Linked DNA regions of Caenorhabditis elegans. The protein of the gene in region 2 interacts with the protein of the main gene of each other region in a biochemical or structural test. Each region holds a gene or a part of one and is shown on either strand. Other genes may lie near its edges. The genes, in order: unc-78, unc-60 and aipl-1.

Evidence for each region.
Region 1: of the proteins of unc-60 (region 2) and unc-78, one has a biochemical effect on the other in vitro, tested with the Caenorhabditis elegans proteins (one study listed by BioGRID).
Region 3: of the proteins of unc-60 (region 2) and aipl-1, one has a biochemical effect on the other in vitro, tested with the Caenorhabditis elegans proteins (one study listed by BioGRID).

What each region holds. Positions count from the first base shown.
Region 1 is NC_003284.9:3,407,936-3,413,701, forward strand, and holds unc-78 (Actin-interacting protein 1), read right to left. Parts: upstream 3,681-5,766; 5' UTR 3,680-3,680; coding exon 3,607-3,679; intron 3,212-3,606; coding exon 2,733-3,211; intron 2,305-2,732; coding exon 1,812-2,304; intron 1,770-1,811; coding exon 1,273-1,769; exon of another isoform or gene 1,225-1,272; coding exon 1,038-1,224; intron 991-1,037; coding exon 884-990; 3' UTR 739-883; downstream 1-738. Other genes in the region: vit-5 (Vitellogenin-5), read left to right, coding at 1-127, 173-308, 361-620; putative oxidoreductase dhs-27, read right to left, coding at 5,041-5,166, 5,213-5,374. UniProt on the Caenorhabditis elegans protein: Induces disassembly of actin filaments in conjunction with ADF/cofilin family proteins. Regulator of actin organization in myofibrils.
Region 2 is NC_003283.11:1,472,971-1,480,580, reverse strand, and holds unc-60 (Actin-depolymerizing factor 2), read right to left. Parts: upstream 5,496-7,610; 5' UTR 5,443-5,495; coding exon 5,440-5,442; intron 5,270-5,439; coding exon of another isoform or gene 5,174-5,269; intron 5,021-5,173; coding exon of another isoform or gene 4,794-5,020; intron 4,741-4,793; coding exon of another isoform or gene 4,641-4,740; intron 4,581-4,640; coding exon of another isoform or gene 4,509-4,580; exon of another isoform or gene 3,797-4,508; intron 3,700-3,796; coding exon 3,613-3,699; intron 3,243-3,612; coding exon 3,130-3,242; intron 2,631-3,129; coding exon 2,544-2,630; intron 1,379-2,543; coding exon 1,210-1,378; 3' UTR 1,005-1,209; downstream 1-1,004. Other genes in the region: F53E2.2 (Actin-depolymerizing factor 1, isoforms a/b), read right to left, coding at 4,509-4,580, 4,641-4,740, 4,794-5,020, 5,174-5,269, 5,440-5,442. UniProt on the Caenorhabditis elegans protein: Depolymerizes growing actin filaments in muscle cells; required for the assembly of actin filaments into the functional contractile myofilament lattice of muscle.
Region 3 is NC_003283.11:15,133,151-15,138,750, forward strand, and holds aipl-1 (Anaphase-promoting complex subunit 4-like WD40 domain-containing protein), read right to left. Parts: upstream 3,652-5,600; 5' UTR 3,651-3,651; coding exon 3,578-3,650; intron 3,325-3,577; coding exon 2,846-3,324; intron 2,793-2,845; coding exon 2,306-2,792; intron 1,973-2,305; coding exon 1,316-1,972; intron 1,272-1,315; coding exon 1,165-1,271; 3' UTR 1,048-1,164; downstream 1-1,047. Other genes in the region: K08F9.1 (Major facilitator superfamily (MFS) profile domain-containing protein), read right to left, coding at 4,123-4,200, 4,312-4,462, 4,506-4,666, 4,716-4,847, 5,069-5,264, 5,318-5,521.

The DNA.
Region 1 (5,766 bases), on a different chromosome or scaffold from region 2:
ACAAAACCAACTTTGCGGACTTTGCGGAAACAATGACGGTGAGAGAGACAATGAGTTCATGACCGCTGACAACTACGAAACTGAGGATGTTGAGGAATTCCACCGGTCTTACCTTCTCAAGAATGAGGTAATCAGATTTTTTCAATGAACTGAATGTAAATTTCATTTTCAGGAATGCGAAGTTGAGAACGACCGCATCTCCGAGAAGAAGAACTACAGAAACAAATGGAACAGAGAAGAGAAGAAGTCCGACTACGAGAGCAGCTCCGACTACGAGAGCAACTACGATGAGAAGGAAACTGAGAAGGGTTAGTCTAAGGCTGAATGATGTGTAGTTTTAACAAAATACATATTTTTCAGAACTCGTCAAGAAGACCCTCATCAAGGAGTTCTCCAACCGCGTCTGCTTCTCCATCGAGCCAGTCTCTGAGTGCCGCCGTGGACTCGAATCCGAGAAGACTTCCAACAAGAAGATCCGTTTCACTTGCATGCCACGCCACAGCAAGAACGCTCGTCGTTTCTTGAAGGAAGCTCGTGAGCAAACTGTTGCCGAGTTGGTCGATTTCCCAGTCTCCTTCGTTGAGTCTGTCAAGATCCCAACCGCCTGCGTTGCCTATTAGATTTCATATGTTTTATTAATTTTCTATTAAATAAAGCATTTTCACTAGAATGATTTTTTTTCTCATCACTTCTAGAAAACAAATACACATGTTGTAAGGATGTCAATCGAAACACAGCTTTGCACCAATAGTTTTTATTTACGCGTGTATTTAAGGCTTCGAAGGAGATGATAGTGCTTGCAGTAAACACGAAAATTAGTGATAATTATGAAAATCAATATAATTTTAAGGATACTTAGAGGGCAATCAAAAAGCTTCTCGACTTAAAAAGGTACATTCCAGAACTTGATATTCGAATCTTGTCCGGCCGACACAATTGTAGTTTCGTTGAGCCAAATTACCGAATTGACAGACGACATAGCATGAGCACCTATAAAAATGTTGTTAAATGTGTTAAATTAATAGAGAAATATTTACCTTTAATGATGATCGGATGATCAGATGGTTTGTTCATGTTCCATACAATAACGCTGTTATCCAAGGAACCGGTCGCCAAACGGACATTGTCCGGTGACCAGGAAACACATGCAACCTTGGCGGTATGGAAAGTCCAGGAGTTTGTGTGAGCTAGCTCGAAGTTGTTCGCAACAGAGTACGGGATAACCTGAATTTTGAAATCTATAATAGAAATGATTTTTTTTCAAAAACTAACCTTTCGTGATTGATCGGTTGCCACGAGGAAAGCTCCATTATTCGAAAATGCGACAGATGTGATTTCAGCAGGATGGACAATTGTTTTAACTTCAGAGACACTTGCTCCAGAGAGTTTGTACACATGGACCTTCGAGTCTTGTCCACCAACAGCAACAAATTGCTTATCGTTCGATAATGCCACACAGGAAGAATTGTAGCTAATTGGTACTTCCGTGAGCTTTCCATGAGAGTAAATTGCAATATGCTTATAGCAAGCAGCAACTGCAATATCTCCATCTGCGGAAACGGCGAGACCGAGAGGTTGCGAAGATAATTTGTTGGCAACAGCTTTGGAAGAATCGACTCCAGAACCTCCGGCAGGAACAACCTTCAGATGATCATCCCAACTGACGGTGAACAAATCACCCTTGCTGGTTGTCTTGATTCCGGTGATCATTGTGGCGTGAACATCCGGAAACACGCGGTTTGATATTCCTGTGGAAATATCCCAGGAGTCTGAAAACAAGTTTTAAATTTCGAAGCACTGAAACTACTCACTAATATGTCCTTCAGCATCAGCACTGAAAAGAGTTTTTCCATCAGCGCTGCTGCTAAGTGCAGTAATCGCCTTGTTGTGTCCGTATCTAACCTGATCGATACTTCCCAATTCTGGATTGACAAAATTGATAAATCCATTAGCAGAGATAGACACAAGAGCCTGCTTGGTCCAAATGATTCCAAGTTGTTGATCTTCAATTCTAGTTCCAACGGGAATAGTCTTTTCAACCTTTAATGTAGCCACATTCCAAATTTTAATGGTCTTATCAGCAGAAGCCGATGCGATTTTTGTACCATCCGGGCTCCAGGTAAGGCCAAACACAGATCCAGAATGAGCGACATTTTTCAAAGAGTCATCTTCAAAGACTCCGGTTTTTGTTCCATCAACTCCGTTGTATAACACAATGGTTCCATCTCCTCCAGTCGAGGCGAACAGAGAGCCATCAGGGTTGTAGCGCACAGAGTGGACGAATTTCGTATGTTCTCCGAAAGTCTGGAAAAATTGGAAAATAAATTTGAAACTGGTTTTTTGTCTGAAAACGTATTTGGAACACTCGAGTCATTTAAAACAAGTTTCCTTCTATCAAAATTAAATCTCTGTTAGAGTTGCACTGACAATAAGCTACTGAAAAGATGTTTGCATTCCGGTAGTATTAAAAATTCACGCATACGTTCAGGTTTTTTTCTACATTATTTGTTGATAGTTTCTGAAAAAAAAGTTCGCTCAGTGTTTTTTTTAATGTTTTATCAAATAAAAAGCATGAAACTTCAGCGAAAAGCTCACGCGAAATTATCTTTTTTGGAATTAAAAAATACAACTTAACACAAACCTAATAGAATAACATGTAGTATTTCGAAATACTTTAAGCGGAACCTTTGTGGAGAATTTTCAAAAACTAATCCAATATTACAATCACTTACACTTTTAAATTTGAATGGTGGTCCTTCAAAAATCGCCACTGTATTATCATCAGATCCAGAGATAATGCGGAATGGGCGTGATGGCTTGAAGTCGACGCTGTTCATAGCGCGAGCTTGTCCGGTAAGATTTCCATTAGACGTTCCAGTGTCAAACAAGAAAACATGACCGAAACGTTCTCTGCCTTCTCCAACGGCGGCAATTCTCTTACTTTCGCTATCCCACGAAATATCCTTCACTGGTCCAGAGAACACCGGAATAGTAGTTTTCAGAATGTGGGTGGTTTGAGTTGTGTCCCAGATACGAACATTTCCATGAACATCACCAGAAGCACAATAATAACCACTTGGGCTTGTCTTGGCGACAGTCGTTTGGTGAGAATGCTCAGTGTAGATTTCGGTGTCGGTTAGGCTTCCAACTGGTACAGTATAAACCGATGTTCCGTTACAATATTGAATCTTGTCTCCAGCGGGGGTGTTGCCTGGAAGTATTTTTGTAAAACGTGATTTAGCTTTCCTATTAACCGTTTCACTTTGCACTTTTTCTGTTGCCAAAGCGTCTCACTAATACTTAAATATTTCATCAATGATTTTTACTATTTTTCGCACAATTGACAAAAAAACTACAGTAACAACAAGCGCTACAGTAGTTTTTTAAAGGATCAATGTGGTTTTCGCTACGAAATACTTTAAATATGTTGCGCAATATGAATTTTCAGAATTTTCTACTTTTGCAAGTGAAGACTAATTATTTTAAAGAAACAATTTATCTGAAAATTAGTATTGCAGCCATATTAAAATATAATGCAGCCATACGGCTTCAATTTCTAGTATTAAATAGTAAAATCACCGTGCAATTAAAAATATAAAAACTCACCGAGAACTACGGCAGTTCCTCTAGCAGTGCGAGGCAAAGACGGGAACAATGCGGTTTGAGAGAATTCCGACATTCTGCAAAAATTGTAAAAATTGAGCAGGAATCCAAAAGATCGAAGGAAGAAAATCAATAAAATCAAACGAGAGCATTGAGAAGAAATAGTGACGACAGCGGGTGAGGAACTAATGAGGGTGCGGAAGGACAGCGGTCACTGGTCACTAACAAACAGTGCGCGCGGCCGAGATGGGGTTTCCTAGGCCGCAAAGATTGAACAACTGTTTTCTTTGCTTGAAATATATAAGTTTTTCGACGGAATTTTATAATTGAAATTTTCTTTTTTTTTTCTAAGAAAAAATTATTAATTTGGTCGATCTATTTTTGTTGATAACGAAGAACAATGCGATAGTTATTTGTGACGTGAAAAAAGTGAATAAGTGTTATTGTTGTGAGAAAGAGGAGGTCAATAGAAAACGGGGCCCGCCGGCTCGCCGGGTGGAAAGCATTCGACAGCAAGACGTGTTTTTCAATCTGCGACTCGGCGATTCCCATCATCACTCGACAATCGAGAAACGGAGGTTCACGCAAACAGAGGATCGGCTGTAAACTCCTCGTTGCTCATCGACCGCTTTTTTTATTATTAGCCGTCACTGGAAAAATCGATAAACCTGCGGGGGAAGCTTTGGGTGAAAAACACGTTTTTTTTTCTCGAACAACATGTCGAAACAAAACAAAATAAGAAGAAAATTGGTCGGGTTTTGCAATAACTTTTCGAATGAGAAATGAAACATTTTCTCGATGAGACAACTCACCAAGCACATGTGATTCATGTTGCATACACGTTAAGGAGGGGCTGACTAAGCGAACTATAGCCTTATCGCAACAAAAAACGATTTTTTTCCTCCCTTTTCTACTTTTCTCGTATGAATTTGTGCAAACTAGAATATGATTCCCCGTGAGTCACCGGAAGAGCTAAATTTTCAATATCAATATATTCATTAATATAAAAAAGACATGTTATTATTTAAGTCCAAAAGTATTTTTGAATAAAGAGTACTACAATCCAAACTACATACTAAAAGCTTATAAAAAATTGCTGACAACTTGGCTTCTCGAGATGTTTCAATAGGAATATTCGAAAAACAAGTAGATCATAAAAATTTGTATATTTAATTTTTTAAAACTGTTTTTCTTTCTCTAGAGCCAACATATTTGCAGGATTCAAGTGTGTGCAGCAATTCTGTGGAGTATGGCCAGTGGGAAAAATTTGAAATGTTTTTTCTGGCAAAAAAAGCTTCAATCGGTGATCAACTTTAAAAAAAAGATTCTAAAAAATTAAGTTCACACGAAAACTTTTTTATCTGAAAAATAGCATTCAATAAAAAAAAATCATGATAAAAATGAACGAAAATGGATAAACGTGAAATGATAAAAACTCTAATTATTCTTTCTCGAGTTCTTCGCTTGATAAGAGGCAACACGATGCTTATGAACTCCGAGCATAACAACAGGGACGAAAAGTACTTTGAAAAACCAAAAGGAGAACAATGTTCCAAGGGCAACCTGAAATTTTGCAATATTCAGACCACTAAGACACCATTGATTTTACCTGAACATCATGTTGCACACAGCCCGTTGTGATTTCCCAATTAGTCCCGATAATTCTGACAGCTTGTTTGGCAAAGTTTTCAGGGGTGACAACGAAGATATTGTTCGCTTCTTCAGCTTCATACGAGGCGACCTTGGTAGCAACGAGCATTGGAATGAGACACTGGAAAAATGAATAAACTTACACTTGAGTTTTTTTTTAAAGTTTGTGAAGAAAGATTTTGAGTTAAAATACAATACGTTTAACAATAAATTGAATCAGTTCTGGCAAAATCATTACATGTAACTGGTTACGTTTAGACGTGCGACATTTAAATTAAAAACTCCGTTGTTGTAAGTATTAATATATACATTTTATAGAATACAAATTTTCAGATAAGCATGTCATTTGACAGCTCGTTTTTCGATTAGGTATCTACAATTATTCAAAATGCAAGAACACAACTCAAAAGCTTTCTGAAAGTATTTCAGTGCATTTAAGGCTGTTTAACGAAGGCTCTATATATTTGAAATTTTGAATTTCAATTTTGAATGCCTTGAAGGAATATTTAAAAC
Region 2 (7,610 bases):
CTTAGGCTTAGGCCTGGGCTTAGCCATAGGCTAGGTCTTAGGCATAGGTTTAGACTTGGGCTTCTGCTTAAGCATAGGCTTATACTTAGGCTTAGGCTTAGGCTTAGGCTTAGGCATAGGCTCAAGCTTAGGCTTAGGCTTAGAATTAGGCTTAGGCTTAGGCTCAGGCTTAGGCTTTGGCTGGAGGATGACAAGAGAAAAAAGTAAACCCACAAAATGGCAAAAAAAAACCTTGAAATCTACTCAGAAAAAACATCAGATTTATGTGTTCTTCTTAGAAAAAATGATGCAGAAAAACCGCATCTGGAGAACATTTATTTGAAAAGGATTCCCATTATTTTTTGCGAAAAAAAACGAATCTAAAAACAACGGGAAACAAATGGAACGCGATGTTTTTTTCCGTTTTCAGAACACTACGAAAACTGATTTTTGAACAAAACTAAGCCAACTCACGGATTTCTGGCTTCCCTAATAAATTGAAATGGAAGAATTTGCCGAACTAGGCCATTTTGGCTCGGCCATATCTGGGGTAGATTTACGGCGCGTTGCGTGTCGCGTCGTGAGAAATTTTACTTCTAAATGCATTTGTCCGTGTGGAGTACACGACTTTCCCCAGGCGTTGTTTGGCTGGCGATTGTCAATGGAGCGCGAAAAATTCAATGAGGAAGGCCAGAACCCCGTGGGCCAACTCTGTTGGATTTCGAAAAAAAATCGATTTTTAAAAATTATCCAAAGAAAAGAATGTTTCGTGCTGTTCGTTTCAAGTTTCGAAACAAACAAACAAAATTCGAAGAAAAGTAGCATAACTTGTGCTCCTGCTTGTGCTCCGAGAGCCGGTGAGCACAAGTCGAGTGGCATCAGGTCAAAAGTAAAGAGATGCTCTCGGGGGGTGTGTTGTGCTCTATAACATCTGAGGGCTCTTGGGGGCTCTGGAAAAAATGGGTAATTGATTTTATTGTTTTTTGTCGTCTGGACGTCATGGAAAACAACAACTGACATGTTCTGAAGGAACGGATTTATTTATTAAAAGAAAAATATTTTTTTAAAAATTCCAGAGAAAATGGGAAATCAGAATTACAGACAAGAAAAGTCATAATTTAACAAGAAAAAAAAAGTTAAAGGCACATTTTTGACGGGCTTGGATGGTCCGAGAGACTAGTAGTACCAGAAAGAAATTGTAATTTGTGATTGGGATTCAATTGGACAGGCTTAGATTCTTTGGTTGGACATCAGGTCGCTCTTCACGCTCTTCTCGTCGAGGTCCGACATCTCGGAGGCCTGTACTTGGAAGAGGGACTCGAGTCCGAGGGACGCCTTGAGAGCACGGACCGAGGAGGCGTAGAGCATACGTCTGCGGACTGGGGCGTTGTCTGGGCAGCTGAAAATAGGAGTTTGGGAAGTGGAATGTGGAAATACATGGAAATTTTTTTAAAGAGATTCTTGTTAATGGCCGACATTTTGGTGGCCGAGTTTTTCTAGTTGATGGCCGAGGTTTCCTAGTTGATGGCCGAGGTTTTCTAGTTGATGACCGAGGTTTTCTAGTTGATGGCCGACATTTTGATGGTCGAGTTTTTCTAGTTGATGGCCGACTTTTTGGTGGCCGAGTTTTCCTAGTTGATAGCCGAGGTTTTTTAGTTGGTGGCCGACTTTTTGGTGGCCGACTTTTTCTAGTTAATGGCCGACTTTTTGATGGCCGAGGTTTTCTAGTTGATGGTCGAGTTTTCTAGTTGATGGCCGTGTTTTCCTAGTTGATGGGCGACTTTTTGGTGGCCGAGGATTTCTAGTTGATGGCCCACTTTTTCTTGTTGATGGCCGATTTTTTGGTGGCCGAGTTTTCCTAGTTGATAGCCGAGTTTTTCTAGTTGCTGGTCGAGTATTTCTAGTTGATGGCCGAGTTTTCCTAGTTGATGGCCGAGTTTCTCTAGTTTATGACCGACTTTTCCTTGTTGATGGCCGACTTTTTGATGGCCCAGGTTTTCTAGTTGATGGCCGAGTTTTCTAGTTGATGGCCGAGGTTTCCTAGTTGATGGCCGGTTTTTTGGTGGCCGAATTTTTCTAGTTTATGGCCGACTTTTTGGTGGCCGAGGCTTCCTAGTTGATGGCCGACTTTTCCAACGAGAATTTCAGTAAATTCGTTCATTTTTATCAACTTTCTTGGTTTTTTGTTTGGACGATTTTCTAGATTTTCCAGACGCGAAATTTTACGCTATCTGGTCTCGACACGACAAATTTTTGTTAAATTCAAACAGGTATGCGCCTTTAAAGAGTACAGTAATTTAAAACATTCGTTGCTGCGAAATTATAGTGTTACCGTTTTTTTAACGCAAAAATGCGGACAATTTCGAGCATTCCGGCTTGATCTACGTAGATCTACAAAAAAAGCCGGAGTAGAGACGCAGAGTTCTCAACTGATTTCTCATGGTTAAGAACGTGCTGACGTCAAATTTTCTTTGGGAAAAAAATCGCGCATTTTTTCTAGATCAAACCGCAATGGGACAGCCTGGCACCACGTGTATGTGTAATATTTCAATGTTGAAACTCACTATTGAACGAAGATGACCTTATTGAGTGTGCTGGTTCCCTCGGCTCCCTGTCTTTGGACAGTAACCTCGACGTCGACGGCAGCATATCTGCAAAAAAGGATGAATTGAATCGAGATTTCCGACGAGTTTTGTTGTTTGATAATTATCCAGACAAGAAATTTTGCGGTTTTTTTGCACCAACTGGTCTCGACACGAAACTTTTTTGTTAAATTCAAAATCATATGTGCCTTTAAAGAGTAATGTAGTTTCAAAATTCCATTGCTGCCAAATTTTCATTAATGTTTCACAGTTTCTTAATATTTATGTGAATTTTTTTCGATAATAAAACATTCCATGGAAACAATAATTTTGAAATTACAGTACTATTTAAAGACGCACACCTTCTTTTCTCTGCATTCATTTAACTAGTAAAAATTAGTCGTGTCGAGACCTAGCACCGTATTTTGGCGCAAAAACACAACTTTTCGCGTAGAATACACGCGACATTTAGGCTCAGACTAAGACTTAGTGTTAGGCTTAGGCTTATTCTTAGGCTTAGGCTTATGCTCAGGTTTAGGCTCAGGCCTAGTCTCAGGCTTAGGCTTACCTGCACTCCTTTCCGTCCTCAACAAGCTTCTTCATCTCCTCAACGAACTCGGCGTACGGAGCATTCTTCTCTCCGACCTTCTCGACGACGATGGCGGTGTCATTTTTGTCAATCTGATTATTTTTTGATTTATTTTTTTTCGATTTATTTATTTTTTAAATTTTTAAAAAATCAAATTTAGAAAATTATTTAATTATTACGGGAACAGAAAACTCTGAAAATGCGTACTGCACAACATATTTGACGCGCAAAATACATCAAATATCTCGTAGCGAAAACTGCAGTAATCCTTTAAATGACTACTGTAGCGCTAGTGTCGATTCACGGAAACCATTTATAAAGAAAATTGCAATAATTGAGCCCGTAAATCGACACAAGAGCTACAGTACTCATTTAAAGAATTACTGTAGTTTTCGCTACGAGATATTTTGCGCGTCAAATGTGTTGTGCAGTACGCATTTTTTTTTTCGCAGAATAACTCACCTTGAAGATGATGTAGCTGTGCTGATGCTTGTTGTGGAGAAGATCGTAGGCGTTCTTGCAGGATGGATCAACTTTGACTCCGGAAGCCTGTACTCAAAGGTGTTTGTAATATTTTTCTGGTTTTTATGTCAATTTTTGTTTCCTTTCAAAATTTTCCACGCGTGTTAAAACAATTGTTAGAAACTCCAAACTTGATTTCATTGTGATAATCTTAAAAAGCACAGCACATGAACGGTTTGGTGGGTGATTCTTCAAGGGGATCGGGCAGGGTGGGAAAAAAGTAAGAAGGGAAATGAATACGCAATAGAAGATTTGAAAAAAAAAGAATGGTGAGGAGATGGAGATTGAGAGTTCCAGTGGGGGAAAGTACACTATATAAATATAGAAAGCTTTACAAGAGAGAGAGAATATAATCGTAAATGAGAAGGGATTTACCACGCATTTCACTAAACAATAAAGATACTGAGAATCTGAGGGGATGTCTCAACTTCTTCATAGTACGGAAGGTTACCCGGCACATTGTATTAAATTAGTGGGCACACACAATCACTTGCCCCCAGGAAAAAAACAATCGTCAATCAGGAAAAAAACAGATAAAAATAGAGGATAAATTAGCAATGTTAAGAGGTGAAAATGTGAAGAAGACGCTTAAGAAACATCATCGAAACACATCGCCGCAGTCATGTTTTCAACGGATGATTCTTTGAGGACACCAAAAAAAATGAACAAGTAGTGAGGTTGGTAAGAAAAAAGCACCACAACAACGCACTAGCACATTCAAAGAGCACACGTGAAAACGATCAGAAATCATCAAGCAATGGAGAAAATGCGACAGACAGAGACGAGAATAATCGAGGATGTGACGGCGACGACGACTTCGGAAGAGACCCGTGTATCTAGTGATCTCCGTATTTCTCGCCCAACTTGTTGAGGAGTTCCTTGTGGCTCATCTCGCTCTCGTCAGACACCTGAAATTTTAATAATTTGATTTTTTTTTTCTAATTGTAAAAATTATCGAGATTTCTCACCTGGAACTGAAGGATTTTGCCGGTTCCGAGAGAAGTCTTGATGGCGGCGGCGGACGAAGCGTACACCATCTTTTTCTTGATAGAAGCACCATCTGGGCAGCTGGAAAAAAAATTAGATGGTACAATAATTCACCAATAGGATCAAGCGCTTACATCTGGAGGAAGATGATCTTGTCCATCTTGCTCGTGCCGGCTCCAACACGACTGCACGTGAACTTGAAGTCGAAAACGGCGTAGCGGCAATCGGTCAGATTATCGGTTCGAGACTTCACGTCCTCGACGAATTTGTCGAAAGCGGCCTTGGAAGAGTCATCATAGTCGTCTCCAGTGATGCCGAGCTGATCCTGAGTCACCGCGGCTTCCACGATCACCTTGTTCTCCTGGAAAATGTTGCAATTTAATAGGGAAATCAATAATGTTCATCTAAAACAATTAATTTGAGGATTTTTCAAATTTTTCAACAAAAAAAACAAAAAGTGGCACGAAATTTTTTTAAATTGATCTGATTCAGATTTTATTTTTTAAAAACTCACGTCGATCTTGAAAATGATGTAGCGGTACTCCTTGCGTCCCTCGGAGAGCTTTTGGAAAGATGTCTGCACATCTGGGTCGACCATGACACCGGAACTCTAGAAAACAGGCACACATAGGTTAGGTTAGGTTAGGCAAAAAGAAGAGAAAACCATTCCATTTTAGTGTGAAATTTTGGAAATTCAATGAAAAAAAAACACGCCAAACATAACATTCCAAATTTCTTTCAATTTAAAAATATTGAAGCGAATTAAAATCTCAAACTCACCATTTTGAGATGTTGTTGTTGGTTTGTGGTGGGGAAATAGAATCAAGTTGAGTTTCCTGCAAGAAAAAATGATTTTAATCAATCAATAATCGAATCACGAGAAGGGAAAAACGATAGTGAAGAAGCTCAACACAAAGAAAAAGTGTAACCCAGATAAGAGTCATAAGGGTCATAAGTGTGAGGTAAATTGGTAAAGTGATGGAAACAGAGAGAGAGAGAGAACAAGAGCCAAGAAAGTCCATTGTGATTGGCACAGAAGCAGGATGAGAAAGACGCAAAAAAAAAGAGACGGGGCCGTCCCTTCGGCCTAACCCCCAGCCCCAACAACACAACCGCCAGTCAGAGTGCTTGCCTGTGCGAGCGCGTCCGCTTAGATAGACGAGGACGAGGGACACGAGGAAAATGAAGAGACGAAGAGATAGAGCGAGATAGTGACAAGTAGAGGAGAGGGAGCGGAGAGAAAATGAAACGGGCAGCAACAGCAGCAGCAGCACCCAGCCCGAATGGTCATCTTTTCCGTCCCCTCCCGGAGAGAGAGAGTGAACGATCTGAAGAGCTGGTAGAGAAGAGAGTGAAGAGAGAAAATAGCGAGAACCGAGCAAACATTCGCCATGTGCAACACACACACCATTGTCCCCCGACCTTACTTGCTCTGCCCGAAATACCAAAAAAAAACAGATACGGACTACCTAGTGGTGAATCCGTTTGCACTTTCTCCCGGGCTTCAGTTTCTAGAAAGTACTGACAAAATTAGAAAAAAGTAGGAATGCACTGCTATTGATCGTATGAATCATCATTCAGCATCGAGGAGTACGTTATATACACTATGGTATCAACTGGGAAGGAGAAAGATTAGAAAACCACCCGTTTTTGTGTTGTACACAACAACGAGGAGGACGACGACGGTGTATGAGTCAGCGCATGGCGGTACGAGAATGACGGAGAGGGTTTGGAACAATTTTTGAATTGTTTCCAGACGTTAAAAATATTGAAAACAACATCGATTTCGGCTTTGAACAAGGGGCAAACGAAAAGGACATACCCGGAGGAGGACACACACACAGTGGAAACAATAGTTGATGAGAGTAATTAGCGAAAGGAACTCGGTGCTACGAGACAGTCGAAGCGTATAATCTCCACTTAGCGTACGCGCAGACAACTACACCGCCCATCTACTACCCCCCCCCCCCCCCCCGACATATTCTCTACTTTCGGGTTATTTCAACATCGGGTGAAAGTTCAGTGAGAAAAAAAACATATCATTTTCCTTGAATTCAAGTCGGAATGAGCATTATTAGCATAGAAGTGTTCAGATGGTTTGCGTGGGCGTAGAGAAAGGGCAAATTGACTGTGAGGGAGCCACCAATTGATCGAGGAACGAACAAAAACGCCAACGACGTGGGAGGAGTCAAAGTCATTAGCAATTGCGAAACAATAAGACACGCTCATTTCAGAAATAAAAAAATGAATTAGTCATCTTGAGAATTATTTTTAGAATCTTTTCTAGTCGCTCAGTATAATAATTTGACAGTGTATTTCAAGACAGTGTTTTTCGTATGCAAAAATATTAAATAGTCCAAGAAAACTCGGACGATTTAATTTAAAAGGGGAGTAGAGTTTGTAGTATTTTGCTTAAATAGACAAAAACTGGTCCAAAATCACCGAATTTCATAATGAGACTTCACAAAAAATTTCCAAAAATTTTTCATGGCCGGCCAAAATTCGAAAAAATGGCCAACTATTGCTAAAATCTGAAATTTCGCACACTTTTCTTTGTCACAGCCGCTGGATTTTAGTTTTTCTGAGATTATCACCCTTTAATCCTTATTTTGGTAATTTATCTCGCGGAAATTCGTTGATTGAGACACTTTTTGAGCCGATGGGCATCCAAAAATGATAAAAATTGTATGCCTATCGGCCTAAAAGTTGTCTCAATCAACGAATTTCCGCGAGATAAATTACCAAATTAAGGATCAAAGGGTGATAATTTCCGAAAAACTAAAATCCAGCGGCTGTGACAAAGAAAAGTTTGAGAAAATTCAGATTTTAGCAAAATTTGGCTCTTTTTTTCGAAATTTTGACCGGCCATAAACATTTTTGGATAATGGACCAGTTTTAGTCGATTTAATTAAAATAGCCACAAACTCTACTTCCCCTTTAAATGGTCTCCC
Region 3 (5,600 bases), about 14 Mb from region 2:
GCGTATTGCACAACATATTTGCCGCGCAAAATATCTCGTAGCGAAAACTACAGTAATTCTTTAAATGACTACTGTAGTTGATTTACGGGTTTTCTCTTTTTTTACTTAATTTTGATATTCTATCGAAAACAAATTATTTTTATTCATTTCGTCGAGCCCGTAAATTGATGCTACAGTAGTCATTTAATCAATTACTGTAGTTTTCGCTACGAGATATTTTAAGCGTCGAATATGTTGTGCAATACGTAGTCTCAGAGTTTTGTGTTCCCGTAATATAACATTTGATGCACGTTATGAAAACAAATTGAATCTAATAAAAAAGCACGAAGCGATAAGAACCCGTTTGTATTTTGAAATTGTGGTATTTGAAAGAATCTATGTAAATAGATTACGTATGTTTATTTCAACTATAAAGTTACTCAACAGAAAGCGAATAAAATTGAACCCGAATAGTAATAAATTAGAAACAATAATTCAAATGCTGCACTATTTACAATGAAAAGTTGCCAGAAAAGTGAAAAATATTCCAATTAGGAATCCAGTGAAGAAATATGGAATGTGGCGAGCTCGGAAGTTGATTTTCATCAACTTATTGCGATCATCTTCGATGTTGCTGTTATTATCTCGAAAATTTCCGTTCAAAATAGCTGGAATATCATCTCTTGAATATATTCCAAAAGTGATAACAGTCGTTCGATTCATTTTTTGAAAAAGGTAAAGTGGTCATCAATTTCGAGAAGGTTATTTTTTATATATTCACTCACATTTCTCATTTCAAATGAGTCATCTTTCACTTTCTGGGTGGATAATGTCTCAACTTAAACTATCTTATCACCGTGGGAAAACTCTTATCAATTGGTCGTATCAGATTGGTCTCCACATGTAGAACAATGTATTTGGGAAACAGTTCTCATACTAATTGATATGAACGTAGTTTGCACGGATTGATACTGTTGTTAAAACTATTAATTATACTGTTTTTATGACTAATTGTAAGTTCTATAGATTCCCTTATTTTATTTTAAATTTTTTTTTTGTTCCAAAAGCCTTCATTGAAATTTCATTCGAATTGTAAATAAAAATTGTTAAATCACGTGCATCTTTTGGCAGAAAAATAGGTAATCAAAAATAAATTATGCAATTTTAAACATATAAACATGAAAACTAGAGTGGAACATTCCAAAATTTGATGTTCGAGTCTTGTCCAGCAGACACCACCGTAGTCTCATCGAGCCAGCGGACCACATTCACAGATGACATTGGATGGGCTCCTGAAAACGTTATTCATATACTAGCAAGACAATTTCAATATTACCTTTAATAATAACCGGATGTTCGCCTGGCTTCTTCATGTCCCAGATAATGACACTGGTGTCGATGGAGCCAGTGGCAAGACGTTGATTGTCAGGGGACCATGCGACTGTCAGTACTTTCGAAGTATGGAAAGTCCACGAGTTTGGAGAGGTGACGGAAAAATCCGTGGAGACAGAGTAGGGAATCACCTTTCGAGCCAAATCAGTGACCGCTAGATATTCCCCATCGTCGGAAAATGAGACAGCGGTGATTTCCGCACTGTGCTCAATCTTCTTCAACTCCTCGAGCCGTCCATCTCCATTCAGTTTGTACACATGAACCTTCGCATCTTTTCCACCAACGGCCACCAGACTTTTCTCCGCACAAAACGCCACACAAGTCGAATGGAATTCAATTGGATTTTCCGTTGGCGTTCCCCGTGACAGAACGACGACGTGCTTGTAACATGCAACAATTGCCAAGTCATCAGAAACTTCTAGTCCACATGGTTGAGACGGCAATTTGAAGCTTTTCGTGTCTCCGGATCCATCAGTAATCTTCAATTGATCATCCCAACCAACAGTGAATAAGTCGCCATTGGAAGACGTCTGGGCACCAGTAATCATTGTGGTATGTGGAGATTTTCGAGAAGAAGTTCCGCTTGAAATTTCCCAGGTAGCTGAAATAAAGAAAAACTTGTTATTCATTAAGGTGTGTATTTTGCTCGTATAGACCCAAAATGTGCTCGAATTGAAAAAAAAAGCTAATTTCAGCAAAAATCATCAATTTGTCCAACATTTTCGTGTCGCAGCTGTCGGAAATTAGCTTTCATTTAATTACAATATTTTCATGCATATTTTGGTAGTTTATGCAAGAAAGGATATTTCGATAAAATCTAATTCAGACCGCTATAGCACGGAAAGGTAGGGAAAATTGACTATTTCAGCTAAAATTGGCACGTTAATTTTAGCATATTGTGAAACCTCGGTCAAGTAATCCCAACTTCACTCACTAATATGGCCTTCCGCATCGGCACTGAACAAGAATTTCCCATCAGAGCTCTTCGAAAGAGCTGTAATCGCTTTATTATGTCCCTGACGAATTTTTTCGACGCTTCCATCGTCTGGATTCAAGAAATTCAGGAATCCACTGACAGATACCGTGATCAGCGCACTCTTTGTCCAGACAATTCCAAGCTGTTGATCCTCGATCTTCGATCCCATCACAATAGTTCTCTCCAGCTTTCTTGCAGAAACATCCCAGATTTTCACAGACTTGTCAGCTGAAGCTGTAGCAATTCTTGATTGATCCGGAGACCAGGCTAAAGCAAATATGCTTCCTGTGTGGGCGACTCCCTTGGCATCTTCGAGAACTCCGACTTTTTCTCCGTCAACTCCATTGTACAAAACGACAGTTCCATCGCTTCCCGTTGAGGCAAAGAGCGAGCCATCATTGTTGTATCTGGTAGACTGAACGAACTTTTTGTGGTGGTCAAAAGTCTGAAAAAAAGGATTTAAATATAGTTTACTAATTCAGGCGATATAATACTAACATGCTTGAACTTGAATGGAGGGCCTTCGAAGATAGCAACGGTATTATCATCTGATCCAGAAATGATACGAAACGGGCGCGTTGGCTTAAAATCCACACTGTTCATGGTCCGACTTTGTCCTGTCAAACTTCCGTTTGATGTTGTAGTATCAAGAAGGAATACGTGCCCGAATCGTTCCTTTCCTTCGCCGACCGCCGCAATTCTTTTGCTCTCACTGTCCCATGCGATGTCTTTTACTGGTCCAGAGAAAACTGGGATGGTATGTTTAAGAATGTGAGTTGATTGAGTAGTATCCCAGATCCGAATATTTCCCTGAGTATCGCCAGAAGCACAATAGAAGCCTGTCGGAGATATTTTGGCGACTGTTGTCTGGTGAGCATGCTCTGTGTAGATATCGGCAGAGTTGAGGCTGTCGATGGGAATTGTGAAGACCGAATTCCCATTGCAATAAAGGATTTTATCGCCGGCTGGAGAGCTACCTGAAAATGAGACAATTATTTCGTTTTCCCGCGTAGGGGTGGCGATAGGGTGCCTTGTTGCGACCTAACGCCACCCCTACTAGCGACCTTAATGTATCAAGTTTCGACCTCGAAAGAAAATTCGAGTAAGTAAACCATGCTAATTTAATTTTCATCTTCAAAATTCTGATTGGATTGTTCGTGAAGGTGCTGTGAAATAGCCAGGGCGCCCTGTTGCGACCTATCGCCACCCCTATTCCCGCGTCTTACTCACCCAGAATAACAGGAACTCCTCTGGCAGCCCGTGGCAATGATGGAAATACGGCGGTTTGCGAGAATTCCGACATTCTGAGAAATTAGTAATGAATTAAAATTCGGATTTTTAAATAAAATTAAACAATTGTCGCGTGAAATCGAAAAAAAATGGGAAAATTAATGGAAAAAAGATTGAAAATATTTCATTAGCGCCCGTTTCTCTGTCGTCTCGAATCTCTCTCGCGTAGCAACAGAGCGTGTTTGAATGTAGTCACCACTGGTGTGAATTTTTAGTAGAAAGGAACTTTCGGCAAAAAGTATATGAACATTAATTTTCCACAATTAAGAATGTTATCATCACAAAAGATTGAGAAAAATATCATATTTGAAGCCGTTAAAACAAAAAAAAAGTAACAATGTTAAATATTGAATATGAGGAATGACCACGAGGATCGCGAGTTTAAAGACCAAACGCAAAACTGTTGAAAAACAATCATGATTCATATTTTATGTTAAGGCAGAAGATCATCGATGAAATAGGAAATTATAAATACCATGAAACTATTAAATAGGTTTGATTGAATTCGAACGAGTTGATCGGCATAATGGCAACTTTGGTAATTCCTCAATGGCTTCTTCCACCTGGAAATTTGAAATTTTTATACTTAATTAAAAATAATTAAAAAATGGGTTTCAGCGCGATCTTTGCAAGACCCTTGTTTCTTTAAAATTATACGTCACGTTCTTAATCACCTCAATTGGACTTTTATTCTTGGTCTCTGGAAGTGAAAAATACAGGAAAACCAGAGATACTGCCACCGGAGCAACAAAAAGAATCAAATAGGACCAGGCTTCTCCGAGTTGATTTTTCATGGGCAGGAATGCAGTGATAATTGAAAATTGTCTGAAAGCTTTTGTTTGAAGATTTAATGTCACCACCGACTCACGAGATCATTTGTACCACGCTTGCCCAACTTTGTGCTGCACTTCGAGCATCTTGACCAACAAGTTCTGCATTGATAAAATAACTTAATGGACCCGGGCCTAGAGCGAAGAAAAATTGAAAAATGCAGATAAAGAAAATGAGAATGAAGCCGAGAACTTGGTTCTGAGATTTGGTAGGATTTAGAGGGTAATGGTATAATTATATTTCATACCCCAAACTTATCAAAAGTGAACATTAATCCGAATATTATCAAGTTGCAAATCAGAATTCCTGCAAGTGAAATGAGAAGTAGTGGGCGTCGTCCGTTTTTATCAATTATTGCAATGGCAAGTACTGATGAGATCTATGAAATATTAAAAATTATTTTTTTTTGTACAGAAGTTTTATTAGAACGGTTAAATTCATTGTGAGCAAAAAAAATCTAACTTACCATGTTTATCATATTTTCTTTATTAGACTTATACCCAACTGCTCTACTTTGACGGCTTATAACTCTTTAAATTAACTACCTTTTTTCTGCCTATCTGCCTGCCTATTTTGTGCCTACTCGGGTCTGTTACTTACCACACTAACAATCGTGGTTGCGTCATTTGCCAGTGATGCTTGCAAAACGTTCAAACCAGTATTTACTAGAATCTCAAAAGCAAAAGCACTGATAACTGCAACTCCACTGAAAGACATTACAAACGTCACAACAGCACCGACGAAAGCTTTATCGCGAAGTGATTTCTGTTGGATTACATCTAGCATTGTGAATTTTCTGAAATTTAAAATTCCTAATTACTAATTACTTACACAATTCCAATAACTCACTTGGTGGAGTTCATCTGCTCTTTTTGGATTTCTTTAACATGTTTATCAGCTTCCTCTTTCTCACATTTATAGTAAAAACTGATTGATATCGTGGCGCTTTCCAATGATCCTTTTTGAATCAAGTATCCAGGTGATTCGGGGAAAAATGGGAGGGCAGCTCCAAAAACTAGCATAATTCCAATTTCAGTGGCATAAATAACCCACCTGAATGTTATATAATTAATTGTTATTATCGAGATTAATTCAAATACCTCAAAACTTATTTTGCAATTACAATCTGCGG